4 separate regions of the Mus musculus genome follow, and all the other regions are reported to be linked to region 3. The links are microRNA targets in miRTarBase. Many come from high-throughput screens and were not tested one by one. Region 3 holds a microRNA gene; each other region holds the end of a gene's coding sequence.
The links. The annotated mature microRNA mmu-miR-3074-5p reads GUUCCUGCUGAACUGAGCCAGU and lies in region 3 at 3,026-3,047, shown strand. An mRNA with a match to its seed (bases 2 to 7 or 8) in the 3' UTR can be bound and repressed. Matches are read on the target gene's strand: a 7mer-m8 pairs with bases 2 to 8, a 7mer-A1 pairs with bases 2 to 7 and ends in A, and an 8mer does both.

Region 1 (5,072 bases), not on the chromosome of region 3:
TTGAAGGTCTGATAGAACTCTGCACTAAACCCATCTGGTCCTGGGCTTTTTTTTTTTTTTTTTTTTTGGTTGAGAGACTATTAATGACTGTTTCTATTTCTTTAGGGGAAATGGGACTGTTTAGATCGTTAATCTGATCCTGATTTAACTTTGGTACCTGGTATCTGTCTAGGGAGTTGTCCATTATATCCAGGTTTTCCAGTTTTGTTGAGTATAGCATTTTGTAGTAGGATCTGATGATGTTTTGGATTTCCTCAGGATCTGTTGTTATGTTTCCTTTTTCATTTCTGATTTTGTTAATTAGGATGCTGTCCCTGTGCCCTCTAGTGAGTTTGGCTAAGGGTTTATCTATCTTGTTGATTTTCTCAAAGAACCAGATCCTGGTTTGGTTGATTCTTTGAATAGTTCTTTTTGTTTCCACTTGGTTGATTTCAGCCCTAAGTTTGATTATTTCCTGCTGTCTACTCCTCTTGGGTGAATTTGCTTACTTTTGTTCTAGAGCTTCTAGGTGTGCTGTCAGACTGCTAGTGTATGCTCTCTCTAGTTTCTTTTTGGAGACACTCAGGGCTATGAGTTTTCCTCTTAGGACTGCTTTCATTGTGTCCCATAAGTTTGGGTATGTTGTGGCTTTGTTTTCATTAAACTCTAAAATGTCTTTAATTTCTTTCTTTATTTCTTCCTTGACCAAGGTATCATTGAGTAGAGAGTTGTTCAGTTTCCACGTGAATGTTAGCACCTGATAATTCTTGAGCCTGAGTGAATTACCATTTTTTAACATTCTGCATCCTATGTGGTGCACTGCCTTTATAGATGATGAGGCAGAAGTGTGAATGACTTTGGTGACAGTTGACGGTTCTCATCCTAATATCCTATATTATTTCTGAGTTTCTTTAGTTTGTTCTGATTGCTTATAAGGACCAGCAAGGTCTTTAGAATGATGAATAATAACCCTAAGACAGTTGCTGGTCAAGTTTCCAGGCATTTATCCTGTAGTCTATGGCATCTTGGCAGGACTCTTCTGTTTTCTTATTGGGATCTGTGACTGATGCTGGAGACTTTTCTGTACATCATGTTTGAGGCCTCCCTGTTTCTTGAGTCTTCTTGGGTTTTCCCTTTGATATCTTTGGCTTCTCTCCACAGTATTGCTGTAGGACATTGGTTGCTGGTGATTACTTATAGATTTATTTATAAATATATCTATTTGAGCAAAACCTAAAGCTACTGAGAAAATAATGGGAGTACGAAGAGCTCTCAGGTGGATTGTTAACACTACTAAATAGGAATGGATGTGTTGGGGTTTGAGGGTGCTGTGTGTGTAGTGGGTGGGGACTGGGGGTGCAGTTCTGGAGCCCCTCTCTCAATGATCCTGTGAGGACATCATCCAGGCCTGGGGACTTACTGCCCTTTGACTATATCTGGCTAGGAAGAACTTTACAAATGTGCTTGCAGCTTTTCTGCACACCGCACAGCAGTACTATTGCTATAAGAATCTGTAAAAGATAGAGATGTAGGAATCAGTCCTGTAAACCAAAGCAAATTCACTTTAGGACAGGAGAAGACAACAGCTCTCATAATGATGCATACAATGTTGCATAACGGTTATCTACTAGTAATCTCAGAGCAGTGAGAAATGTGTGTGTGTGTCTGTCTCTGTGTCTGTCTGTCTGTCTTTCAAGGTGGTCGTATGCATGTGAGAATAATTGCAGGGTTGCAGGAGGATTAAGTGTGATCCATGAAGTTTATTTTCCACTTACAGTGCATAACTAAAATTCCATCACATGGCTGCCTCCAATTGGGCATACCTGCTGGCTAGAAGCCACCATGGAGTCTTCATCTATCCTGAGACACTGTCCCTTGCTTTTCTTCCAAAAGGTGCTTGTGGCTTTCTTGTAGCTTCCTATGTAGCGCTGTCAATGAGATGACTGGTCCTTTTGTTAGATAGTACCTCAACCAGAATGTGCACACATCTGCCGCTGCCTTCCTCCAAGTTCCTTTACTGAGCTGGCCTTTCTGAGCATGGATTCCATAACTTCCTTCATTTCAGTAAGATCTTTATAATTGATTGGGAACCACTCAATTTGTAATCAAGGATTTCTTTCACCCTTTGCATAAGGTGTGAAGAGAATGATGAGTTTCACAGAGACACCGACACTATGATTTAAATAAATAAGCTGTATTATCTGTACAAAAAAATATAAATACAGTTTTGTGTTTTAGAGAAGGAAGTGTCTTCTTCCGCATTATCCAGCAGCCCCGATAATTTGTGGTACTGCTGAGTCACAATTCACAGAACAAATATTAAATGTACATTCATGTCATGCAAGGAGCACACTGCTTTCCACTCCAAACCTATGCTCTCCAGCTAGTTCTGAAAGGCACTTCCAACCTCACACTCTGGCAGGTGGCAGAGCTGGAAGACGCCTGCATTTGAGAAAAATTCAAACACTGACCACCAATTTTTAATAGCTACTGTACTATGTATTAGTATTACAGAATTTGTGTTCATTTTATGTATAACTAGTGTCACAAACAAATTGACTCCATTGCTCTCCCCCAATCCCACATTAGCTTTTACAAGGTACTCTGTACACAGTGGATCAGAGTTAAACATCTGTTTTGTTTCATTTAAAATTAGGAAGAATACAATTATTGCCACAGAGTTTTTAGGAACACAGCTGCAGGAAGTTAATAAAATCCCCCAAAGAGTTGTTTTTCTGGATGACAATGTACAATTACTAATATTGCACTTTTTAATACAAGAAATCCTAATAAATATTCACAAAAGATATACATAGAAACACTCTCTTTAATTTTAAATAAACATTACACTGACTTTTAATAACACAATTTCTTAGAGTCTATTTTTGTGATGAGGAAGAGGCCTACCCTAACTGTCCATAGCGCATCTAAGAAGACACAGATTAACATCCTCTTTCAAACTTAACTTCCAGGCTGGTTGGGAAATGCAGCCCTGATGTCAGTGGTGGCCCTGGGGTGATAGCATTTGGTGAGTGTGTTTGCGAGGGGCGGCTTATCTGATGGCTACTGGGCTCTGCCTGCCTCATCTGCTAAACTGAGGCTGCTCAGGAAGGAAGCGATTATTACTGTTGAAGCTTCTCTGCAGACTGAGGATTTGCCAAGGGCTTCTGTTTTTGCCATAGCTGATGTGTGTTGCTGAATTGTGTGTGCTGCTTAGCCCGCTGAGTGGTCCATTCACTCAGTCTGGTGTGCTAATTACCATAGTATCTGTGTAGTCGAGAGGATGGTTACAAAGCTTTCTCCGGCTGTCTTGTGAGTCTTTAGCTGACTTCTAGCTTTGCCATAGCGCCTGATCACACTCCCTACTCCCAGCCTGCTGCGTAAATTGGCAGCTCTTCTGTGGTTCAGGAAGGGCTCCCAGGCCCAATGTGTGAGGGTTGGGAGAGAAAGCGCACTGTGGGTGTGCAGGGCCCCTCCGTCCTCTCCTCCTCTCTGGTGAGATCTGGTAGTAAGGCTTTCTACATCCTGTAGATGCTTGCCCGCAAACAGGTTGCTTAATGAATCCTTTGTGAGCTATGATTCTAGTCCCTGGCCCAACAAGGAGCAGCAAAGTCATTCGGATGGAAAACCAGGGGCATTCACGATCAAATGCCCTTGGCCCTCGGCAGCAGTCAGTTCATGGCTAGTGACCCTTGACTTAAGTAGGGAGATGCTAGGGGCAGCCTTACTGCACAGCTGACCTTGACCCTTTGTTGGGTTGTCCACAGCTGCAGACACAAAAGTCACTTGACAGAAGAGGGGTAGACACACTTGTATAACCACACAAAGGGCATGTCATGCAGTGTCACCCGTGTCACGCAGCGCGGGTACCCTGAGAGGACTCTGAATACCCTTCCCCAACTCTGTTGAAGCTCGAGGACTGTGCACATGTTCCCGGGCACAGGCTTGTCATATGGGTCTCACGTGACTGCTTGAAAATCTGTCCTGCCAGCAAGCTCCTCCCACTGAGGTGCGTGCGCACGCTTTCCTTCTCTCTTCCCGGCCTCTGTCTTCTGCATAGCGGCATGCCTTCTGCCTATTTTGCTTGTCTCTTTTGGCATAACCCTCTTGCCCACAGCTCAGTTCTCTTCTTTCTTGGTCTTCCCACACCACTGCCAGAAGAACTGGAGTCTGGCCTGGTTTCTGCTCTAGTATGCTGCTTCCCCCCCCCCCCCCCTGTTCCTACCACCAGGAAACAAAGGAACGGCACTCCTGATTGGCCTGTGCCTGTACCTATGTGTTATAAACTCCTTGCTGTCCCTATAGACTATGGCTTGGTCTTCCTGTGTCTCTGAGACCCTGATCAGAAAGGAGCCAGCTCTGCAAGGGAGCTGCTGTCTGCTCTGCAACCCTCCTTTAGACATCTTTTTTTTTTTTTTTCCTGTTCTCCACACTAGCTTCCAGCTAACTGAATAAGAAAACATGCCACAGTCCTCGGGAGCATGGGTGCAGGTGGACATGGGTGTGTGGGGAGGGGCAAATAAATAAATAAAAGGAAGAAAGCGTAAGTCATGTCCAAGGTGGTTGTGTGAGTCCTTTGTGTGGCCAGGGTAGAGTTCATCCCCGTGCCCTGTCTTCATGCTTTGCCACACGTTCCACAGCAGCGAGATCGGAACTGGCCGAGCTGGCAGAGTTTCAACTGTCTCACCTTCTCGCAGTACCTGGTGGTGTCTCTGCACTCAGCTGGGAAAGCAGGAGGGGAGGAGGGGGACAGAAAGGAGATATGAAACAGAGGCTCACGGATGCAGCTGCTGTTGAGCAGCCTAGGCACTTGGCAAGCTGCCTGTAGGGTCTCCCCAGCCATGGCTCTCCAGCTCTCTGGACAGCCTTCCCTCTGGCAGCACTCAGCCCTTTGCCAATCCCTCCCCACCATCTGTGATTGATGGGGGACTATCTCAGGGCCTTCTTTGCTTCCTTCTGATAGCTGCTTCTACTTCAGACTGGTAGATTTAATCTCCTTCCTCTTGCAATACTCTCATCTCCCCGCTTGCTTTTTCCACTATGGGCTTTTGTTTTTTTAGTGAGAGATGTGCCCAGGAGGACAGAATTCTGTT
Region 2 (5,072 bases), not on the chromosome of region 3:
AAACCCAGAGAGAGAGAGAGAGAGAGAGAGAGAGAGAGAGAGAGAGAGAGAAGGGGAGGGGAGGGGAGGGGAGGGGAGGGGATGGGAGGGGAGGGGAGGGGAGGGGAGGGGAAGGAAGAAAGATCTCAGGACAGGATTATCAGAGGGGAAAGAGCTACTTTGAAAGGAGTATGTGCAATTGTGTTTCTACACCTTGTGTTGGATTTTGTCAAAACATAGACAACGTGTCTTTCTAACCATCTTCATCATTTTCTCCTTGCTGTCTCTTTCAGTATCATGGGATTGTATGCATCTGTTGTCCTTGTAATTGGGAAATTTGTTCGTGAGTTCTTCAGTGGGATCTCTCATTCCATCATGTTTGAAGAGCTTCCAAATGTGGACAGAATCTTGAAGTTGTGCACAGATATATTCCTCGTGAGGGAGACAGGGGAGTTGGAACTGGAGGAAGACCTCTACGCCAAGTTGATATTCCTGTACAGGTCACCAGAAACCATGATCAAGTGGACTAGAGAAAAAACAAACTGATCACTTAAGACCTGGACTGCAAATAAAGCTAACATTTGAATTTTTTTTTTTTTAAGAAAAGCACAATACTCTAAGAGCTAAGCATTTCTAGTTGGGCGGCAACCATTTCTCTTCTGACAGGTGGCTGAAAGAAGTTGATTTTCTTGTTCATGCAAGTCACCTCACACAAGAAGGCGCTGTTGAAGTTCTCCGTACTCCCATGTCTCTGAAATCAGGGCTCATTGCTTTTAGAGTTTTGGTTTTTTGTTTTTTGGGTTTTTGTTTTGTTTTGTTTTTGTTTGTTTGTTTGTTTTTAGTCAAGAGTATCTTGCATTCTTAATCAGTTATGGGAAAGGTTCCAGTAGTGTCCCTTCCCTTGGAGAAAGGCACCTGTGTCTAACTCTGCAGGGTCCTCACCTTTCCTGGCGTCATGGTCAACGTGCAACACATAGCTCTTCTCACCGCTGGGGCAACTGCTGAGCAGAGACCCCACGAACCCTCAGCACACTCCAGATGTGCAGCAGCAATAGGAGGCAGCAGCACTGCCTGAGTTTCAAGAGGAAAGAGGGGACCCTGGACCCAGAAGATGTGGCTGGAAGGACAAGCCTCATTCTAAGCAAAAAGATAACATTAGTGATACTCCTACTGCCTTATCTCAACTGAAGACTGGTAAGAAATCTTTCTATTGAACACCAGTGACTTCTCAGGAAAAAAAAAAAAACACTCAGCAAAGCAACTACGTGGACACCTCTGCTTGTGAGGTCGGGTGGTAACCACTCTAGGTAGTGGTGATCATTCTGCTTCGGATGGCTCCTGTTGCCACAGCAACAGGACAGCAGTGATCAGCTAAGCCTGATGGGAACACCTCGGCTTTGTAACTTCAGTGACTGAGGCCACAGGGCTCTTCTGCCTCTCCCCATCGCCCCTCCCCACCTCTCCCCATCCCCTCATGCTTCCTCCCATTTCCATGATTTAAGGCAGTGGTTTTTTCCAGTGTGTGACATTTTCCTTGCTGTTTTTCAGGCATATCAAAGAGTTTACATATTCCGATTCACATTTTTACATCTAAGACGGGTTTTTTAAGTTCATAATTATGAAAGAAATATGTATATCGAGCTTGGGGAAATAAAATAATGATGGCCTTTTTTCTTAAATTATTATCATTGGGAATACAACCTCTTCATTGAGATAGCATTGTAGCATGAAAATTTATGATTGAAATGTACTTTTCATTCAATATTAAAAAAAATGCTGTTTCTGAGAAGAATCATTGAATGGGCTAGACTATGTCAAAAACCACTCCTGTGTACTCTGGGTTCAGGACTGACTTAAAATAAAGCACATCTTGCAAAGTCATCCAAGAGTGCTCTATTTATGCATGCCTTCATCTGCTGGTCCTCTGCAAGGAGGAGGTAAAGTGATTGCTCGCGATATAGCATGCTAAGAATCAAAATAAGAGAGCACTTGTCCATTTCCTTTGTCAGATAGGTGCTATGGAGGGACAAGAGCGACAAAGCAATTCACAAAGGGGAAGCACTGACAGTTGCTATGGAAACTTTTTAATAGCAGAGCTCAACTAATTAATGTCTAGCATCTTCTGGAGAAATGAGTAGTATACAGTTGTCCCCATTGAACCACAGCCTCACAACATAAACTGTTACAGTCCACCACGGCAGCCATAAAATCGAGTCACTTAGTAGTAGATCTCTAATGACACCAGGAAACTAGAATTTGCAACTGTCCTATAAGTGGGTCACTTATGAGAGTTTACAAACCTAGCAGCTCACCTTCAGACTCCAAGCCCCTTGCCTTCAACTACTAATGAGAATGCATAAAACCCTCCTGGACCCCAAAGGTTGCTGCTTGGGTGGCTCAGCCAGATAATCTGCTAACTGTCTACGGCATCTCTCTCTTCTCTTCCTGCACAGGGGTAGTTCTGTCATAGTTTGGGATATAGATGTAGAAGAAAGGATGGGGTGTAGGGAATGATTAAGCCTCTGGTACTAGACTCGAACTATCCATAGTCCTCTAGATGCAGTCTTTAACCCTGATATCCAACAGAAAAAGACGATATACCAGTCCAGAGTGAATTCAATGCTGTCTTGAGCAACTTGGTGATGATGCACTGTCTAAACTAAAAGTTAAAAAGCTTAAAATTGTGGCTCAGTGGTAGAATATGAGGCCCTCTTCCAATACTGGATCTCTGAATTCATCTTCATCCAAATGCAAAGAGAATCTTTGATGAAGGTTGAGAGATGCAATAAATTGTGGGTGTAAAGGTAAGTACTTGGGGGGCAGTTTAATAGCTGTCCATTTATCAGAGGAATAGTTTTGAGTTCCCCCTCTAGGGCCTATAATTGTCATGGGTGTTTGGCCCAGTTAACAAACAGTACCAGGCACAAGCTCCACCTTGTCCTCAAATCCAATCAGAAAGTGGTTGGTGACTCCCAAAAGATGAATGCCATTACTGCAGCAATGGACCTATCATACCAGGCTCTTCCCAAAGAGCATTTCTGTTATGTTGGATAGATAGATGAAATTATAGTCCACCAAGCAGATAAAGAGATGCATGGTAGTACTTAATCACAACACCTAATACCTTGCGTAAGAGTCCTCATTTATCAAACGCTCTCCTGGGAGTTAGTCTGTTGTACACTCCAAAACAGATGTGTAGACCTGCCTGGGTGCTGATGTGGATTAAAATTGTTCTCTACTCTCTTCGCCACTATAGCTGATCAGAACAGAATGACATAGCAGTATTCATACAGTACTCATGCAGTATTGTTTTGATAAAGACATGTACAAACCAAAGATTTTTCACATATTAGTGTTTCCTGGAGAAACAGATTAATAGAATGAGTATATATTAAAGGGATATTTATTAGATTGCCTTACACCGTACTGTCTGAAGAGTCCAACAATGGCTATTTAACACTGGACAGTCTGAGAACTTGGAAGCTTCCCAGTCTATGAGTACGCTGGCAGAACCACCCTGGTGCTGAAAGCCTGGAGCCTCTCTGGAGAGCCACTTAAGCCTGAAGAAGAGGAATTCTAAGATCAGCAAAGGCATACAGCAGTAGTGGCAGCAGTAAGGGAGTTGACCTTACATGTAAGACATGAAAGCAATAGATTAAACCCCAAGCTTTAACGCAGACTTCCTTGTACCTGGATTGCTGCAGGAGGATGCCACCTGCATTCAAAGACCCAAATCACAAACAAGTACCACACGTGTTCCCATGGCTTATCCTGTAGTTGATCCCATCAACTAGTTAAAAGGAATGGTTGTTAAAAGAAAGCTTCCAGTTTCAGAGCAAGAAGACATTATAAGGATTCCTGACTATTCCCCCAGGGAAAGAATGCAGGGACTACCAGTTAAATGTCCCCATTCATTCCCAAAGCAACATAGCACCTTCCACTCATGCTCCTTCTGAGATGTGAATGTGTTCAGAAAAGAAAAAATAAGTAAATAGATAAACCAGCCTTGCGCCATCTGGTTTAGCTTTATTGCCTGGATTTTGAGTTGTTTGAGTTGAAGAATTATTTCTTCCTAAAGAAAAGCTGCAGGAGAAGGAGGCTGGTGCCTGGTCCTTGGTGCACAGAGAGTGAGGGTGGAACACCAGAGAGGGAGGATGGAGCCTGGTCCTCATTGAACAGAGCCTGGTTGTTCAATCCTCAGAACTACAAAGGGTGAGGCCATATGCATAAGAAAGACCTTTCTCAGGAAAAGTGATGAAAGCAGACAGTGTGCTTTGCTTTGTGGCTGTGCCTCTTAAGAACAAAAGAAATCAAACCAACTTGGGTATGGAGTAGAGCTTTTACCCCAACACAAGAGAAAAGTCAGGAGCAGATTCTTGACAGGCCTATACCCAGACATTTTCCAAAACTGCTTGCTCAGACATATGGCTGTCTTCCCTTCTGAAACTCCTTCAGTATCTTTCTGTGGAATTTTGGAAAATCTCACATCATATATATATATATACATATATATATATATATATATATATATATATATATATATATATATATATATATATATATATATATACACACACACAGACATACACACACATATGTATGTATGTATATATATATATATATATATATATATATACACACACACACACACACCCATATATGGATTTGTAAGGGAGTTCTCCCTAGCCCTAGGGAATTAGGTTATCTGCCTCAGGTTCCTTCCTAATGCCCTGGGAAGATATCTTCCCAATTATGCTGTAATAGGAACACACTTTCCATGCTGTATCATGCATGTTATATCCCATGGGAACCCAGACTGGATCCCAAAGCCAATACTATAACCTCGAACATTCTTAGTGTTGATTTGTTTTTCCATGATCATGAGACAGTGTGAGGTCTCCAGAGAGCTTCCGTGCTTAAGGTCAGATGAAGGTCACTCTCTCCTGAGAGGATGTGTGGTTTTACTGCAGAAGCAGGGCATCACTATCATTAGGAAGCACCCTTGCTTTACATGTTGAGAGGCTGGAGGACCACATGGCCATTCATTTATTATTCTTGGCTTAGGGTTTTACTGCTGTGAGCAGACACCATGA
Region 3 (5,075 bases):
GTGTCCCAGGCCCACCTTCCTCAAACAGGAGGCCCATGGCTACTTGCAGTAAAGTTACAGAGGTGGGAGGCAGAGGGTGACATCATTCCAGGTGTGTGCCTAGGAGTGTGCAGACAAACGGGACATGCGATCTGAGGATCCGAAGCCATACTGCTAACTAGACCCTGCAGGGAGTATGTGCCTGGGCACCTCACACGGAAGAAGCAAGCTCTGGCTCTTCCAGACTCCCAGGGTCAGCTGGGACTTCCAGGAGAAGGGCTGGGCCAGAGTGAAGTTAGGCCTCCAACTCAGTGCAGCAGATGCTCCAGAGCCGGAGCTGGCCGGAGCCTAGGCACTTCACATCAGGGTAGTTACTTCCCACTGTGTTTCTCCCCTCTCCACAGCTCAGGGCTCCTGTCCCACTGCCCTGCGCCCCCAGCCCCAGCTTTCCAGCACAAATGCCTCACCCCACTGAAGGATATTAAGAGGTCTTGGGCCTCTGCCACATACCTCACCCCCAAATACCCTTGTCAAGCCAGGGCCTGTCTTCTCTTGGGCACCAAGGTCACAGGGTAGGCTGGGGACAGCTCTCTGCTGGCCAGACCCCACCACTAGTAACTGGATACACAACTCAGGAGTCAGGCTGCCCTCCAGCCTGTTGTGGGAGGCACAGGCAGACAGCCAGGGACCCCGTTCTGTCTTCCTCTTGCTCTGCACCTCCATTTGTTTCCCCACTCCCTTAGTTTCCCCATGTCTGCATCTCTCTCAAGTCCCAGCTGCTGACAGGCCTTCCTGTATCCCAGGCCTTGGCCCAGGGAGGAAGAGAAGGGAGAGCCTCCACCCCAGACGCACCTGTCTTCTCTCTTGTATATTAAGGAAAAAGTTGGCATCATTTTGTAACTTTTTTTCTTATTTATTGAACCCCATACTGTATTCTTTTCCTTTTTTTTTCCTTTTTTTTTAAAAAAAAGATTGAACACAACTTCTTTTTAACTTCAAGACTGGGTTGCATTGCTAACACAAACACCCGGGGCCAGGGGTACCTACCACCTGCTCAATTAACCAAAAAATTTTCCATCTCGGTTTTTGGGCACAACTTGAATGGGACAGGAGAGGCTGCTGGTTTCTTCATGGCATCGTGGTGACACGAAGAGCCACCTCTTGCTGGTGGCTTTACTGCTTTTCCATCTGCATGTCATAATCTCTGCAAGTCAGGAGGCTTAAAACGCCCAAACCTAGAGTCTGTAGGTTTTTGGAAAATGCACCCAGATTGCACTGTCCTTCATTGCAGGAAATGACCACCAGGGGGCGTCTGGCTCCAGACAACGTCATTCGGAGCTCCGGAGGTCTCACCAGGTGCGGAGGGCAGCTGGGGACGCCTGTGTCCCCAGTGACCTGCCCATTGCATTTTTGGGCTGTGGATGAGACTCCCGTTCTTAGATGGATTCATCCAGCGGACGGCCTGGGCATTCTTCTCATTCTCCGGTTCTTTATGTCCTTAGCTGTGTCTGACAGGGTCATTGTTTAGGACCGTTCTCTTGGAAGCTGTGTGTGTGTGTGTGTTGCCTCTGTGGGGCACTATGGGAGCTGGCTGTGACTATGAGTGTGGCCATAGTTCATGGTGCGTTCCTTTGCTCCAGGGAGCCGATCAGAGGCGATCCGCCCCTTAGCCCTTCTGGCGCAGACGGGCGCGCGCGCGTGCGTGCGTGCGTGCGTGTGTGTGTGTGTGTGTGTGTGTGTGTGTGTGTGTGTAGACGGGCGCGCGCGCGTGCGTGTGTGTGTGCATGCGCGCGTGTCTGTCTGTGCTCGCATATGTGCCCGTCCTTAAGCCCTGTGTGTGTGTGTGTGTGTGTGTGTGTGCATGCGCGCGTGTCTGTCTGTGCGCGCATATGTGCCCGTCCTTAAGCCCTGGCATCTTGCCAGTCAGTGCATCCCAGCATAGGCAGAGTACATTCTTGTAACATACTCCCTCATGGAACTGGGGTGACCACAGATTGGTCTCATACACCCCAGGTCTGGGTTATCCCTCCCGTTCAAGCCATCCCCAAAGGATCCCAGGATCTTCAGGTCGCAGCACCTACTGACCACAGAACTATATTTACACCTTCCTAGAAGCAGGTGGAGCAAGGTTGGGGATAGGTGCAATGCAGGTTAGGAGCCCAGGGTGTGGTAGATATAGTGGTGCAGCTGGTATTCCCAAACTCCAGACACTGGAGGAGTTTGATTCAAGGTCAGCCTGGTCTACACAGAAATGCTGTTTCAAGAGAAATGAAAAAAGCCAGCAACACACATGTGGGAGGCGGGAATGAAGAGACGTCAGCCCTTACGGAATGAGGCTGTGGAGCTTTTATTTAGTTGGAGAACAACATTCAATACAAGCTTTCAACTCTGTTCTTCCACCCAGGCTTCGATTTGCCCCTGCCCAGAGTAGGGAGAGGACACTGTATGGTCTGGGAAGTGTAACTCAGCCAGTTCCAATTAGTCTGCATGCAGTCTCATTTGTGGGTAGTAGGCAACTTTTTAACTTCCAAGCCTGGAGATTACTTCAACAGGCCAATGGGGGGGGGGGGCATGGATCTGTTCATATCCTGAGGCCTGTGTGGACCTCGCTCCCTGCCTCGCTGTCACCAGCAGAAAGCTGCAGACCCCATGGGATTGCTAGGCACACTGGATCAGGTCAGTGCCTTCTTCCGGAAGCAGAGAGTTGGCATTTAACCGTTAGAGGGCCTAAAGCAGCTTCCTCTTGGGTAACTGACTTCAAAGATGGTATGTATAAGGGGTGGTGCCTGAGCCCCACCAGACTTAGGAAAAGAAGGGCTTCCAGGCCCTGAGGGGACATAACTGGCTTTTAATGCAAGGGTTACCCGCCCATCTATCTGCTTTGGGGAACCACAGAAATCTCAAGGTGGACACCCAGATGCAGGCTTAGAGGCTGAGCCTCCAGCAGACAACGGGGCTTAGGTTGGACTAATTACCCCATTGTTTCCAGGTCTTGCTCACGGCAGACATTCTGCAGGGTTGCCAGCTCCTAGGGGGCTGGACTCCTGTTCCTGCTGAACTGAGCCAGTGCACTGGAATCAACTGTTTCAGCTCAGTAGGCACGGGAGGCGGAGCCCGGAGAGAGGCAGAGCCCTGCCAGCCAGGAGGCAGAGCAGGGTGGGCAGCAGCGGCCTGAGGAGATGGGGTCCAGGGGGCGGAACTTAGCCACTGTGAACACGACTTTGCTGTGGACCTTGCTCACAAGCAGCTAAGCCCTGCTCCTCAGGCCAGTTGTCATGATAGGCTTCTCTGTTACCCAGTACCCAAGACAGACATCCTTGGCGACAGGAGCCCCCAAGGCAGAGCACAGGGTCAGTTGGAAATCCCTGGCAATGTGATTTGTGACTGGCATCAAATCCCATCCCCAGGAACCCCAGCCGTCCGAGGCACAGTGAGGGGGGCAGCAGGTGGGAGCGGAGTGTAGCACCTAAAGAGAGAAAGAAGAGACAGTGAGATTGGAGCATTCTTGCTTGCCTGCCTATCTTGACCAGGCTGGGTCTCACATAGCTGAACACAAGGTTTCCGAATGCACCAGTTCTTCCTGCCTCTACCTCTGGAGTCTAGGATTATAGGTACACCTCACCACACACAGTTTAAGTGGTGCTGGGGACAGAATCTAAACTCAGCTTGCTGATCCACACCCTAGCCCTCCTCTACTTCCAAGAGGGAAGAAGCATTCCCAAAAAAGAGGAGCATCGATCCGTAGGAAGGTTGGAGCGAGGCTGCTGGATGCTGGGCACCCAGCAGTGCCTCTACCCCAGCCCTACAAAGCGGGAGGTGCCTGAAGCCCTAAGGCCAAAGGGGCTGCAGAGCCTTCCCAGCTGCTTCCCACTCTGCTTCTATCCCCACCCACAGCCCTGAGCCCAAAGCAGGCCAAATGGGGCCATGGAGAGGAAGCTGAGGGAGGTGGACGGTTGGAGGGAGGAAGTGACCTCACCCCAGCTGGCGCCACTTCCTAGAAGCCTGAAGGGCAGGAGGAAACTCCAGGGCCTCCCACCTCAGCCCTCTCCTCCCCAGCCAGCTCAGACATAACCCCACCCCCACCCCACACCACCTAGGGCCCAAGCAAGGAGAAGCAGGCCGATGCACCCCAACAATAACACCTCAGTAAAGTTTCCCCTAGGCCTTCCAAGCCTCAGTTTCCCCATCTGTAAAGCAGACTACAACAGTTGCAGTTGGTGGCTCACGTTTATCTCAGCATTGAGGAAACTGAGGCAGGAAGGTTGCCAAGAATGGAGTCAAAAGCCTGCTTAAGCTACATGATGAGTTTTAGGCCTAACTGGGCTACAGTTTGAGACCCTAGTCTTAAATAGAAGAAAAACAAAAATAAAACAACAAAACCCCAAACCTTCTACTAGGAAGGCCAGTGAAAACTTACAGAGAAGGTATTTAGCACCCAGTACCAGGGCAAGCCACAAAATTTGGGGCCTACCCAATGTAGAGTAGTGTCCTGCGTGCCAGTTAAAGTTTTCAGGGGCCAGCAAGCTGATCCAGCAAGTGAGCAGAGCTGCTATGGAGCCCAATGCCCTGAGCTCAAACCCAAGAACCACGAAGAAGAAAAGCATACGGACCCTTGCAAGTTGTCCTCTGATCTCTGCACTTGGGAACACACACACACAATTTTTAAAAATTGTTTAAAGAATTTCAATGTTGGAGAGATGACAGGTTTCTTTCCCAGAACCTACATGACAAGCACAGCTATCTATAGCTCCATTCCCAAGAGCTCCAACGCTCCCCACTGGCCCCTGTGGGTACCAGGCATACATATGGTGCACAGACGTACGCGTAAGCAAACATTCACAAACAGACAATAAAAATAAACTTAAGAATGGTGGTGCACACTGTTAGTCCCAGCACTTGAAAGGCAAAGGAAAGCAAGAACCAGGCCTTGGACAGTACTATCTCTAAGAGTTCAAGGCCAGCTTGGTCTGTGTAGGGAGTTTCAGACCATCCAGGGCTACATAGTGACACAAGTGACCTTGTTTCAGATAAAGAGCTGACTCAGTGGTTAAGAGTGGCTACTGCTCTTGCAGAGGGCCCGAGTTTGGATCTCAGCA
Region 4 (5,072 bases), not on the chromosome of region 3:
TATCTATCTATCATAAATCTTTCCTATATCTCCAGGTATCACCTACCTATCAATTATCTTCTTTCCATTTATTTATATGTCTGTCTGTCTGTCTATCTATCTATCCATCTATCTACCTATCTGTCATCTTCTATTATCTATCATCTATGTATCTATGTATCTGTATCTATGTATCTATCTATTTGTCTATTTATCTATCTATCTCTCTTATTGTCCACCTACTTATTCATACCTTAGTGACACTTGTACTTAGAAATCCATGCCCTGCTGGAATCTTGTCTCTTTCTATCACATGTGGATTCTAAGGAGATGCTGGCACAGTCTTTTCACCATTTGGTACACTCTACACAGCATATCTCAGGCTCTACACTCTAAGCCTCATTATTCTGCCTTTTATATAATACAAGAAAAAAATGTGGGTTTCTTCATCCATTTCAGTAAAAGGAGCAAGAGCTGCTAGAAGCACGCTCACTGATAATATAAGAAGTGCCAGCAGAGGGAAGGGAGGGTAACCCAAAACCACATCAAAGCTATTGTATCTTGCAAGTCCAAGCAGGACCATTTAATGGAAGAACAAAGGTACGTTGAGCCAGTGAAAACCTTTCAGGCCCACAGTTCTGATCCCTGGAGCTCACTGATATTCCCGCATCCCCAGACATTGATAGGGGAGGGTGTGAGCCATTTATAGGCAGGGAGATAATAATCCACTGAAAATGGCTCGTTAAAGCTATTCAGTCTCTTTGAAGTTTGAAAACTACTCTTTCTGGAGAGTGAAGACTCCCCTGGAGCTCACTGGCCAGCCAGTCTAGCCAAATCTATGAGTCCAGGATTCAGTAAAAGACTCTGCCTCAAAGGATAAGATAGTGAGCAATGAAGGGAGATGTCTGACATTGACATCAGGCCTCCAAGCACACACACACCTGCACACACACAAATACACACTCAATAAATATAATATACATTCTTAAAAAAATAATCACTAGTTTATGAGTGAGGAAAATAAGGTAGTATACAGCATGCATCAGCACTTTTCATATCTGCAAATCTCCTTGCTTCCTAGGAATGCTGACCATTCAGGGATCACTTCTCAGAGCAAGGATAAATGACAATGGTATCTGTACCAATGGACTTGTCCGTCAATAAATGATGTCACTGTTAATTCATCAACTCAACTTCACTGATTCTTTGGAGCCCATCTTAGTTACTTTTTTATTGCTGTTATAAAACACCATTGCCAAGACTCACGTGAGATCTGTATAAGGTTTTCCTTAGCTGGAGGACGGCCACAGAAGTCAAGTGCCCCTTCTTGTGCGAATACATTTTTGTGCTCTTGGGCTAGAGGATAATCTGTCCTTTTGCTCTGTCTTACTTATGCTGGAGACACAGCCTCTCTTTGGCCTGGAATTCATCAAGTGGGCTAACCTAACTGGCCAGAGTACCCTCAGTGATCTTTCTATCTCTACCTTTCCAGCACTGGGATGACAAGCATGTACCACCAGAAGTATTTTATGTGTGTAGATGTTTTGCCTGCATTTAAGTCTGTACCACATGTGTGTTCTGTGCCTATGTAGAGAGGGTACTGATCCCAGGAAATGGAGTTACAGACACTTATAAACCACTATGTGGGTGCTTCAAGTTGAACTGGGTGCTCTAGAACAACAGCCAATGTTGTTAAACACAGAGCCTGCTACCCTAGCTTTTTTTTTTTTAATGTGAGCTATGGGGAATTGAATTCAGGTTATCACACTTGCAAGGGAAGTATTTTACCAACTGAGCCATCTTCCAAGTCAAGTGTCTTTGTTGCATGTTGTCAAGGGCCACATCACAGCATGGGCTCTCAGAGGTGAGATGACCTTGGTCCCCAGCCAGAGTCATCATATATGCTGGGGTGCCCAGGAGCTCCTCTCCCTGTCCTCCTCACTTTCTTGGAAGCAGTTACTTAGCAGACAACACTCACCCTCTACAGGCTCCCAACCATTACTGTGTGGCCTCCCATAAACAATCATCCGGGTGGGAAATAGATTCTTCAGATGGAGAGGTACCTTCAGACAAACTAACCCTGGGTAGCACCAGGTATGCAAACATGCAGCTGTGTCTGTCTCAAAAACAGTAAAATGGAGAGCAATACAGAGAGAGAGAGACACCCAATGCCAACCTCAGGCCATGAAACGTACACGCAAGTGCAACAATGCATACAACACACATATATACCAAACATACAAAGCAAACATCTCCCATGGAACGTGAGAACAGGAGTCACTTTTAACCTATATGCTTCCCTCTTCTTCCAGCTTGAAAAGTGTTCTCTCATCACTATGGTGACCTGCTACTAGGTGCCTGGTGTGTGGCAAGGCTGCCTGCACACTGAATTCCTTACTGCAGAAAAAGATGTGCCTGACTGCTTGCATAGAAATGATGTTAGTTGATATATTAGGCTACAGGGATGCCTAACTTATTTTCGCCTGATTCTTCTTCCTTCAATATCACTACCAGAAAGTTTAGAAACCTATATGACAGACAGTGCCATTTCTACTGGTCAGTGTCATTCTGTGGCAAAGAACTCCAAAAGTAAGGGGCACGCAGCAGGGGCTCTGGTGTCAAGGATAAAGTTCCACCCCTTCCTGCTCCACAATGCCACACCCACCCTCATAGGGAGAGGAAAAGACACAAGCCACTGCAAAGTTACAAATTTATTGGTCTGGAAATAAATACAAACATCTTATTAAGAAACTGCCCTGGAGAGACATATACAGTGATTTCTTGTCAGCATTCAATCACCCTGGCCTGGATTCCTGATCTTTCTACACAAGGTCAGTGGAACTCCTCCTCCACGGTAGGAGTTGGCAGGTAAACTGATCCCTTGTCTCTCATGCCGCCTATAGGGCATAACTACTTTTCCTCTAGCAACTCCAAGATCCTGGAAGTCGCCAGGCCTTGAGGGCTGACTCCCAACGATCAAGTGTCTCTGATCTGATCACATTTCCTATAGGAAAGGTTCAAGGTTAGCCACAGTAAGAATCAAAAGGCAGTAGTATGGAGCATGGGCATTAGGCTGGCATTGCTTAAGAGGCCAATGCTACAAACCCAGTCAGCAGGAGGGGCAGGAGAGGGAAGCAAGTTCCCGTGGAATGTACAGAACCCAAAACCAGTCCTTCCCCCACTAGAACATACGGTTCTCTCTGAAGAACCAGCGATGGGCCAGTTAAGAGACATTCAGCTATCAAGTTTCAAATCAATGCCAGACATCAATTATGGGAGACAAGGTGTGACTCAGTCACACAAGATTCCAGATCAATGAAATCACACCCACCAGGTTCTAGCACTTGGCCCTACCATGAGTCCTCAAAATCCCAGGGCCATTCTATCCCCACCCTTCCCATCCTAAAGACTCATCCCAGACAAGGACCCCTGTCACCTGCTGGGTTCTCCCTCTGCCTCAAAGAATGCAACAACAAATCAAAACCATCTTCCCGAGGGACAGAGGTGTCATCCACTCATTCACTGTGGAATGGGAGCGGGGTACAGTAGACTGCATAGCAAGAGTCTTAAATCACTGATGCCCCACATTTGCTGGATCACTTTCTCTATAAAGCCTGGGGTTTGTTACCAGTTTTTCTTGCACGTTAAAAGGTTGCCAGAAAAACAGGTTGTGGGTTTCAGTGTCCAGAACTTTAAAATCAATTCCTTCAAGTGAGCCTAGTAGACTTGTTGTGTTTTTCCTCTACCTGCCCTAGACCCTGCCTTTTTTTCTCTTCCTTTCTTGGTTTCTCTACTTAAAATAAGGCGCCCAACTTTCCTGCCTCTCTCTCTCCTTTCAAAACAGAAGTTTGTTTCCAGGAATGAGTTTAGTGGGGAGGAAACAGGAAGTAGGCAGGTTGGCAAAACGCCTATGAACCAGAATGCTGGATCAGCCTGGGCTTGGAGCCAGGCAGTGTTACAGCTATCTATTTCTTAGTTTTGGCAGTTTGGTGTCTGAGGGTAGAGAGAGGGTCCACCAGGCCACTTGTTAGCAGAACAGTACGCTGAACTGCTTCTTGCCTTTGGTCCACCACCACCCACCCTGGTCCCAGGAGGCAGTCAGAACAGCCTGGGTCTGCCACCGCCAGAGTTCATTCTTACAAAAGCAGCTTTAGATTAATACCGCATTAGCGTAGGGTGGCAGGCAAGGGTTGGGGGCTAAGGGAGAGGCCACCAGTCCAGGGTGACTGATGCACAGATTGCTTAGCAGGACACCTCCATGGACTTGGGCCCGGCATTGTTTCCGGTGGCACCCGAGTTGGGGGTGATGTTGAGACGGGCATCCTCACTGGTATGGGAGCGGCTACGGGACCCCTCACTGGTGTGCGAGCGGCTTCGGGGGCCCTCGCTGGTATGGGAGCGGCTACGGGTGCCCTCCAGGGATGTGACACTGGAGCCAGAGGCTGTGCGGGACCGCATCAGGCGAGTCATGCTGGCAGAAGGCACTGGGAACACAGAAGACAAATATGGTTAGGATACAGGAAGCCTCTACAGGTGTGGGACTCTACCCCTGGCTGCCAGCCATGACAGTTAATCGTAAGAGCCCAGCTGAACACCACTTCTCTATTGTCTTCATCCTGTGAGCCATCTACCTTCTGTGTCACTCACAAAGAGGACAGTAAAGTCCAATATGTGGGAAAGGCACATAACAATTACATGGCAAGAGTCCTGAGCCATGACCTGGGTCTGACCCCCAGTTTGTTATGTGCTTATTAGCTAGGTGACCACCAGATCATCACACTTGAAGCCTTCCCATTTTCATTTGCAAAATGAAGACTTCGTGTAACCTCCTCTTAAATGTACTGTCAGTAGGCAGTAGAATGTGGAAGCCAGCAAGGTTAGTTCCTGCACATCCCAAGAATAACCCCCAAGGTCTCACCACATGGTTCCTAAGGAAATGTTAGCCATCTGTCTGCCTTCCAAAAGCCTGCTAGCTCTCAAACCTTAGCATGACCAAAACTGCGCATACCACAGCAGATGACTGACAGAATGGGATACAAGACAATCCTCCTCCTATCTAGGGTGGCAGTGCTCCCCCCAAATTCATGCTCACC

Region 1: miRTarBase lists Adamtsl1 as a target of mmu-miR-3074-5p. Seed matches in the 3' UTR shown: 7mer-A1 at 4,396-4,402.
Region 2: miRTarBase lists Piezo2 as a target of mmu-miR-3074-5p. Seed matches in the 3' UTR shown: 7mer-A1 at 1,209-1,215.
Region 4: miRTarBase lists Ndrg1 as a target of mmu-miR-3074-5p. Seed matches in the 3' UTR shown: 8mer at 3,793-3,800.

What each region holds. Positions count from the first base shown.
Region 1 is chr4:86,425,471-86,430,542 of GRCm38, reverse strand. It overlaps Adamtsl1 (ADAMTS-like 1), which reads right to left. Exons shown (of 29, transcript NM_001368621.1): 29 at 2,161-4,701. The coding sequence ends at 4,595. All of the region lies in intron 2 of Gm33730 (a long non-coding RNA gene), which reads left to right. Among named protein-coding and RNA genes, the nearest start is that of Gm33730, 13 kb to the left of the region's middle.
Region 2 is chr18:63,007,001-63,012,072 of GRCm38, reverse strand. It overlaps Piezo2 (piezo-type mechanosensitive ion channel component 2), which reads left to right. Exons shown (of 54, transcript NM_001039485.4): 54 at 273-1,860. The coding sequence ends at 525. Among named protein-coding and RNA genes, the nearest start is that of Napg, 32 kb to the right of the region's middle.
Region 3 is chr8:84,206,845-84,211,919 of GRCm38, reverse strand. Mir3074-2 (microRNA 3074-2) reads left to right here and starts at 3,013; the gene lies at 3,013-3,095. Zswim4 (zinc finger SWIM-type containing 4) reads left to right here. Exons shown (of 14, transcript NM_172503.3): 14 at 1-978. Mir23a (microRNA 23a) reads right to left here and starts at 3,402; the gene lies at 3,328-3,402. Mir27a (microRNA 27a) reads right to left here and starts at 3,248; the gene lies at 3,162-3,248. It also overlaps Mir24-2.
Region 4 is chr15:66,926,646-66,931,717 of GRCm38, forward strand. It overlaps Ndrg1 (N-myc downstream regulated gene 1), which reads right to left. Exons shown (of 16, transcript NM_008681.2): 16 at 2,673-4,463. The coding sequence ends at 4,222. Among named protein-coding and RNA genes, the nearest start is that of Ccn4, 38 kb to the left of the region's middle.